Macaca mulatta: one gene and its partner. The protein of the gene in region 1 interacts with the protein of each later gene in a biochemical or structural test. Links are inferred from orthologs where the notes say so. Each region holds a gene or a part of one and is shown on either strand. Other genes may lie near its edges.

Evidence for each region. The genes of interacting proteins can lie anywhere in the genome.
Region 2: the proteins of PTEN (region 1) and RPL38 form a complex in vitro, tested with the Homo sapiens proteins (2 studies listed by BioGRID). The link is inferred for Macaca mulatta from reciprocal best matches to the Homo sapiens genes PTEN and RPL38.

What each region holds. Positions count from the first base shown.
Region 1 is NC_133414.1:100,034,666-100,038,176, forward strand, and holds part of PTEN (phosphatidylinositol 3,4,5-trisphosphate 3-phosphatase and dual-specificity protein phosphatase PTEN), read left to right. Parts: intron 1-2,012; coding exon 2,013-2,237; intron 2,238-3,511. UniProt on the Homo sapiens protein: Dual-specificity protein phosphatase, dephosphorylating tyrosine-, serine- and threonine-phosphorylated proteins.
Region 2 is NC_133421.1:83,872,144-83,876,117, forward strand, and holds the start of RPL38 (large ribosomal subunit protein eL38), read left to right. Parts: upstream 1-1,163; 5' UTR 1,164-1,231; exon of another isoform or gene 1,232-1,256; intron 1,257-1,402; 5' UTR 1,403-1,440; coding exon 1,441-1,443; intron 1,444-1,613; coding exon 1,614-1,674; intron 1,675-2,730; exon of another isoform or gene 2,731-3,636; intron 3,637-3,974.

The DNA of each region.
Region 1 (3,511 bases):
GCTGAGGCAGGCAGATCACCTGAGGTCAGGTGTTCGAGACCAGCCTGGTCAACATAGTAAAACCCCGTCTCTACTAAAAATACAAAAAAATTAGCCGGGTATGGTGGCAGGTGCCTGTTATCCCAGCTACTCAGGAGGATTGAGGCGGGAGAATTGCTTGAACCCAAGAGGTGGAGGTTGCATGAGCCAAGAATGCACTGTTGCACTCCAGCCTGGGCAACAAGAGTGAAACTCTGTCTCAAAGAAAAAGGAAAAAAAAAAACCAAAAACCAACTGTCTTCATTTAAAATATTAAATGTGTATATTTAAAGTGAGACTAAGGTGCAACATTTTTAGATAGTAATGAAGAAAAGCAGTAAATTTGTATTGTTGCTGCCTTGTTAAACATACTAGATAGCATATTGCTAATCTTTAAACATTCTCAATAATAGGATATATTTAGTTGTTCTGATTTTTAGCTTTTCTTTTGAAAGAAAATAAGAGGAAGTTTCATTTACTGCACAATTTTAAATGCTGCTTTGACGTATCAGAAGAAATATAATTTCCTTTATCCAGAATCCAAGTAGCTGGAAAAAAAAATCAAAATGTACTGAACATCTTTTTTTAAACCAGAAACCCATTTCCTATCATCTGTACAAGTAAAAGTTAAATATATCTCAATAACTTTGAAAAATTATTTTTTGATAATCCAGGAAGTATTAACAACTGTTTTAAAATTAAGATAACTAGTAATTTTTATTTTGCTTTCAAAAATAGGCACCTACATCATCATCTCTGCATACCTTTAGGAATTTACTAATTCTTATTTCCCTTCATCTGCACTTTAACACATGCAAAATTGAAGGTTAATATCTTATGATTTACTTGTTTATCCTTGACTACACAAATTTCCATTTTATTGATTTTCCCTGCCTTATTTAAGAATATGCTGTGATTAAAACAGACAAAAAGTTTTAGTATAATCCATATATATATATGGAATTCACCTTTTTGTTATTTAAATATTATTAGCTTATTTTCTTCTAATTCTAAGTAAAATACAGTTACTGGCTGAAATAATTGAAATAAGCAAAAAAAAATTTAAAGACTTGTAAACAAAGTTACTTTGTCAGGTACTGCTAAAAGATGCAATAAAATTTAAGACATAATATCCTTAAAGATCTTATTTTCTAGGGGGAAAAAAACTTTTAAGGTAAATTAGAATAAAAGATTTAAATGGCATTTTAAGGTACCAATAAGATGACACAAGGCTGTACATCATTAATTGCCAAATTATTTATGCAGGCCAGATTTCTGTGTTGGTCAATAGAGGTTTAAAGTGATGAACTTCTGTTGTGGTTTTTTATTAAGAAAGTATTATCTTATTAGAAGTGATTTTTTTAAGAACAGGCATTTTATAACATCAAAAGAAATCAGTAGTACTCTTCCCTATCCCCTCATATTTATTCTGAAAGTATTGAAGCATTATATTGTCATGTAAGAAAGTAGAGCTTCTCATGTTTGTATTGCTGTAGAAGTAAACATGTATTTGTGGTGTGTCATCAGGGAAGTTGCACTCTCCTTCTAAGAACTTTTGTTAAAGTAAATCTTGGAATAGGTAGCTCATTTGAAAAGTAGAAGAAATTAAGTCCATCTCTGAATTTTGTTTTTATATGTATGTACACATAAACTAAAAACATATTTAAAGCTAGTATTAGACTAGAAAAGAGGTTTTTTTACTTAAAAATTTAAGACAAAAGTAATTTATCTTAGATCTTGTGAGATTGTAGTTTTGGTTTAAAATTTGAGTGCCGAAAAATCATGTGAATGAAAATGCAACAGATAACTCAGATTGCCTTATAATAGTCTTTGTGTTTACCTTTATTCAAAATATCAAATGATAGTTTATTTTGTTGACATTTTGGCAAATGTTTAACGCAGGTGACATATTTTCTTTTTTAAAAAAATAAAACATCATTAATTAAAATATGTCATTTCATTTCTTTTTCTTTTTTTTTTTTTTTTTTTTTTAGGACAAAATGTTTCACTTTTGGGTAAATACATTCTTCATACCAGGACCAGAGGAAACCTCAGAAAAAGTAGAAAATGGAAGTCTATGTGATCAAGAAATTGATAGCATTTGCAGTATAGAGCGTGCAGATAATGACAAGGAATATCTAGTACTTACTTTAACAAAAAATGATCTTGACAAAGCAAATAAAGACAAAGCCAACCGATACTTTTCTCCAAATTTTAAGGTCAGTTAAATTAAACATTTTGTGGGGGTTGGTGACTTGTATGTGTGTGATGTGTGTTTAATTCTAGGAGTACAGCTGATGAAGAACTTGCTTGACAAGTTTTTAAATTATGTATTATTTAGAAGCTGTGTTTACATAGCAGTAACATGAAAGTTTCTAATAAAATACCCAATGTACATGGAGTCAAAAAAGCTGCAGTTTTCCTTTTCCCAATTCTTTGTTGTTGTTTGGTAAAATCTGGTGCAAAGGTGCGGGAGGGGGCTAAATGACTGGGATATGAAGTAGGAATGGGAGAGGAAAGAAATGGATGGAAACTCAGTCATTTGGGAATGATTGATATGGAATGTTTTTACTGCTTCCACTCCTGTCTCCCTTCCAATTTATTCTCAACCCCTCAGAGTGATCTTAAAAATAGACTTGATTGTGTCACTTCTGTTTACACTTTATAAAGACCTTGTGTTTTTTTTTTTTTTTTTACCATGACCTGCAAGGACCATCATAATTTAGCACAGGCCTACCTCCTACATCAGCACTAATCACCTTCTCTCTTTGCTTCTTGAGATTCAGTCATACTGGTCTCTTTTCAGTTCTTCAAAATGCTAAGCTTCTGCTTCTAGTCGTTCCAGTTCTTTTCCTTCTCCCGGTACCTTTTCATCTCAGCCTTTTCCCCCGACCTTCTCATAGCTATCTTCATATTTCCAGCCTTAGCTTCAATCTCATATTCTCTGAAGGTCTCTGATTGTCCTCCTGTTATTCTTTTTTTAAAAAATCCTATTTCCTTATATTGTGTCTTACAATTATTTGGTTTGTTTCATTTTTGTGTATATATGATATATGTATTTATACATAGGTATATATATCTACTTATAGACAATAATTGTTCAGATTTAAAAAATCTGATTTGTAAACATTCCCAAATGGTTTGCCTTTTTTTTCTTCCCCTTTCCTATTTCTTGTTCTACCTGATTTTCCCCTGTTCATTCACCACACTCTTTTCTTTCTCTTTTTTACTCTCTCTTAATTTGTCATTCAATTTTTATAACATGTAACAAATCTAACTGTAGCTTCTGAGTTTTTAAGAATATTGCTAGTAATACTTCACCTGTAATCCCAGCACTTTGGGAGGCTAAGGCAGGCAGAGCACTTGAGGCTAGGAGTTTAAGACCAGCCAGGCCAATATGGCGAAACCCTGTCTGCACTAAAAATACAAAAATTAGCTGGGCGTGGTGTCACACACCTGTAATCCCAGCACTTGGGAGGCTGAGGCACAAGAA
Region 2 (3,974 bases), on another chromosome or scaffold:
AGTGCTCTTTCTCTTCAGGAGGGCTGCTCTGTAATAATAAGCACGAAGCAATTACATTCTGCCATGTGGTTATTAAATTTGGGGGAAACAAATATAATAAAATGTAGACATTTGTAGAGAGGTTGGAAATAAAATAAAAGTGGAGGATAAAAATAAAATCGATAACCACACGTTGCTAAGAGCCTAACCTGAAGGATGTTATGGGGGAGAAAGGAAGGCTGCCCTCCCCAAACTGCCCAAGCCTCCCCAAGAAGTGGCTGGTGCCTGGACTGGGGAATCTGCCCAGCAGGGGTTCAAGTCCTGAGTCCACCTCTCCCCTCTGGGGTGGTGGTGAGAGCTGGCAACAGCAGGAGAACTCCCACTGCTGCACCATCAGCCCTAGAGGTGAGACACTTAGCCAGGGGCAGCCCTGCCACAGCTGTTGGAAGTATTATTATTATTTTTGCTAGAGATGGGTGTGGGGGGGGGCCTTACTAGGTTGCCCAGGCTGGTCTCGAACTCCTGGCCTCAAGCGATCCACCGGCCTCGGCCTCCCCTAATGCTGGGGTTATAGGCGTGAGCCACCGCGCCCGGCCTTAACTTGCTTTCATTGTACACCAATTCCTAAAGGAACTGGAAGCAGCAGGCAGGAACGCTCCCTCTTACGGAAAGAAGATCCCAGGGCCCTGGTCATGACAGGTTCAGGTCCCAAAAAGGAGACTGGAAGAAGAAAACGTGAGGCGCCAGAACAAGAGGTTCTACAAGGTGCACACGACGGTCTCTGCCATTAAATGAAGAATTCTCTGTGCAGATGTCCCGTGCACAGGTCCAGTGAAAGCCGTGGAGAATAAGCGTTAGCTCTTCGAACTGAATCTGAACTAAAACCCAGCAAAGCCAGGCTAGGGTTGGGAGGTTGCGAGGGAAGACAGGAAGTGTGGATGGGGAAGAGGCGGGGGTCATAGAAGGAAGAGATGGGGAGCAGTGGGAGGAGGGAGTCGGAGGGAGGGCGGCAGCCAGGATGGTCCCTTCCATTCTTGGAGCTGCACTGTTGACCTCGACCACGAGGGGGCAGGGCTGCTGAAATTGGAAGTGCCAACGCCTACATGAGTCTTGACCCTCGGCAGGCACCGTATCCAGTTTCCTCCGTTGGGAGGGTTTAACTGCCCGGAAACGGAAGTCTCGTTCTTTTTCGTTCTTTTACTAGGTCGCTGCTGGCTGTGAGTGTCTCTAGAGTGGTACGCGGGTGAGAAGGGTAATCTGGGGCAATCCACGGCCAGGTGAAATCTGGGGACCCCAGGTCCACGTGGAGGGTGTCGGGGAGGAAAAGGGAGTGCGATGGGGGCGATATTTCGGGGGAGGGCGGGAAAGCGGGGTTGACTGCCATCCCCCGCGCCGTGTTAACGCCAAGGACTGTTTCCTGCAGGTCCCGGTCCGCGCCAGCTCCCTGCGCGCCTTGTCGCCATGGTGAGTACGGTCCCTGCCTGGCGCCTTCCCGGTGTGGGTTCGTGGGATCCGGGGCGAGGGCGAGAGAGCCTCCCCAGGGCCTCCGGAGGCCGGGAGGAGCTGGTGGACTGGACCGTCACCGGAAGACGTGTCTCTTTGCTGTCTGTTTACCCGCTTCCTTTGTGTTGCAGCCTCGGAAAATTGAGGAAATCAAGGACTTTCTGCTCACAGCCCGACGAAAGGATGCCAAATGTAAGTGGTTGCTCCGAAGGTTCAAGATGACCGGTGCCTACCCTGCCACCGCTCCGGTAGCGTCTTCCCCGGAATGGCTGGCAGGAGGCGGGTTAGGCTGTCTGGGCGTGTGCCTGGCCCTCTGGGACCAGTGGTTACATCGTATTTCCCATGAGAAAGACCTGTGTGGGGCACGTTGAGGCCCTGGAATTCTAGAACCATCTTAGCTAATCGCGAGCATCTCAGAGGCTGCCCAGAGTTCAGTTTTCTTTTGTATAATACATCAAATTTCTGCAGTTGTGCAAAATCTTAACACAAAACCCATTTTGTAATGAAGTGCTGGATACTTGCATGTAATGTGTTGAGCACGGCACACTGTGCAATATAGTCGTTTATATCGTGATCCTGTGGTCGATGGCCAGTGTCAGAAAGTGTCATACTTATCTAGCCCAGAAAAAGATTTTTTAAAAAAATTTTTTTCTTTTTTTTTTTTTGAGACAGTATGGCTCTGTGGCCCAGGCTGGATTGCAGTGGTGCGATCTTGGCTCACTGCAGTTGCCGCCTCCCACGTTCAAGCGATTCCCCTGCCTCAGTGTAGCTGGGATTACAGGCACGCGCCACCGCGCCTAGCTAATTTTTTGTGTTTTTAGTAGTGACGGTGTTTAACCACGTTGGCCAGGCTGGTCTCGAACTCCTAACCTCAGGTGATCCACCTGCCTCCACCTCCCAGAGTGCTGGGCTTACAGGCGTGAGCCACTGCGCCCAGCCAAGATCAAAGTTTGAAGCAGGGCTTCTACTGAATGCACATCGCATTCCCACCATTGTAAAGTCACAAAGGTTGAGTTGGACTGTGGTGAGGCTGTCTCCCAGCTTGTACATACAGGGGAAAGAAGGTGATTCATGAAAATCCTTGAACAGCAGATTTTCGATGGATAGGTGCCAATCTCTGCTACCCACTTACAGTTTTACACCAAGTGTGAGAGAGGTAGTTGTGTTATCCCTTTGTGATACTTGAAGATTTGGGGGCTTGTGTTTTTGTGTTTCATAGGTCTTGAGTTATGTTGTTACTTTAACCCAGAGTCATATTTTTTCAGCTGTATGAAAGAGAATCAGGTCACATGTGGAAGTGGGGTTGCATGGGACAGGCCTGTTAAGGTGGGCGAAGACACCAGCTAATGCTCCGTGCCCCAGTGATGGTGCCAGATGGTGGTTGGTGTACAGGGAGAGCCTTTCAGTGAGTTGGGGGTAGGCAGGGATGGGGGTCATATTTGTGTCCCCATTACCCAAAACAGGCTGTCACCTTTGAGGTGGTGACCACCTGTGGGAACAAATAGCATCTGGTGGGAATGATGTCTGTTTGCCAGTGTTTTGTATAAAGAGATGAGGTTATCAGGTTAGTTTTATTTCAGGCCATATGGGGTCGCTGCCTAGTTCAAAGCCCAACTCTACCAGTAGATAACTTACCCTTCTGAGCAAGTTAAACATGACACCACCCTTTGCTTGTGTTTAAAAAGGGTGGTGGTCCAGGCGTGATGGCTCATGCCTATAATTCCAGCACTTTGGGAGGCCAAAGCGGGCAGATCGTTTGAACCAAGAGTTCAAGACCAATCTGGGCAACATGGCAAAACCCCATTTCTACCAAAAATTTAAAAATTAACCGGTCATGGTGGCACACGCCTGCAGTCCCAGCTACTCAGGAGGCTGAGGCAGGAGAATCAGTTGGACCTGGGAGGTGGAGGTTGCAGTGAGCTGAGATCGTCCCACTGCACTCCATCCTGGGTGACAGAGCGAGACTGTCTCTCACAAAAAATTGGGAACCTGGATTTTAGATGATGCAGCTTTAAAGGTAGGGGTCACAGTCCCCTAGAGATAGTAAAGTGTCAGTAGCTGTTGAAAAAACTTTTGAAATTGTTATATTAATTTTTAATGTGTAATAGGCGTAGCATAAAATTCACCATTTACACTGGGTATGGTGGTTCCCATCTGTAATCCCAGCACTTTGGGAGGCTGAGGCAGATGGATGAGACTAGCCTGGGCATCATAGTGAGACCCTGTCTTTACAAAAGAAAAAAGTTAGCCAGGCATGTGCCTGTGGTCTTAGCTACTCAGGAGGCTGAGGTAGCGATTGCTTGAACCCAGGAGATTGAGGCTGCAGTGGGCCGTGATTATGCTGCTGCACTCCTGGCTGGACCACAAAGCATAATTGTACAGTTCAGTGGCATTCAGTAAATTCACATTGTTGGGAAGCTGCCACCATCACCACCCATCTCCAGAACTTTTATCTTCCCAAACTGAAACTCCCTCTGTTAAACACCAGCTCC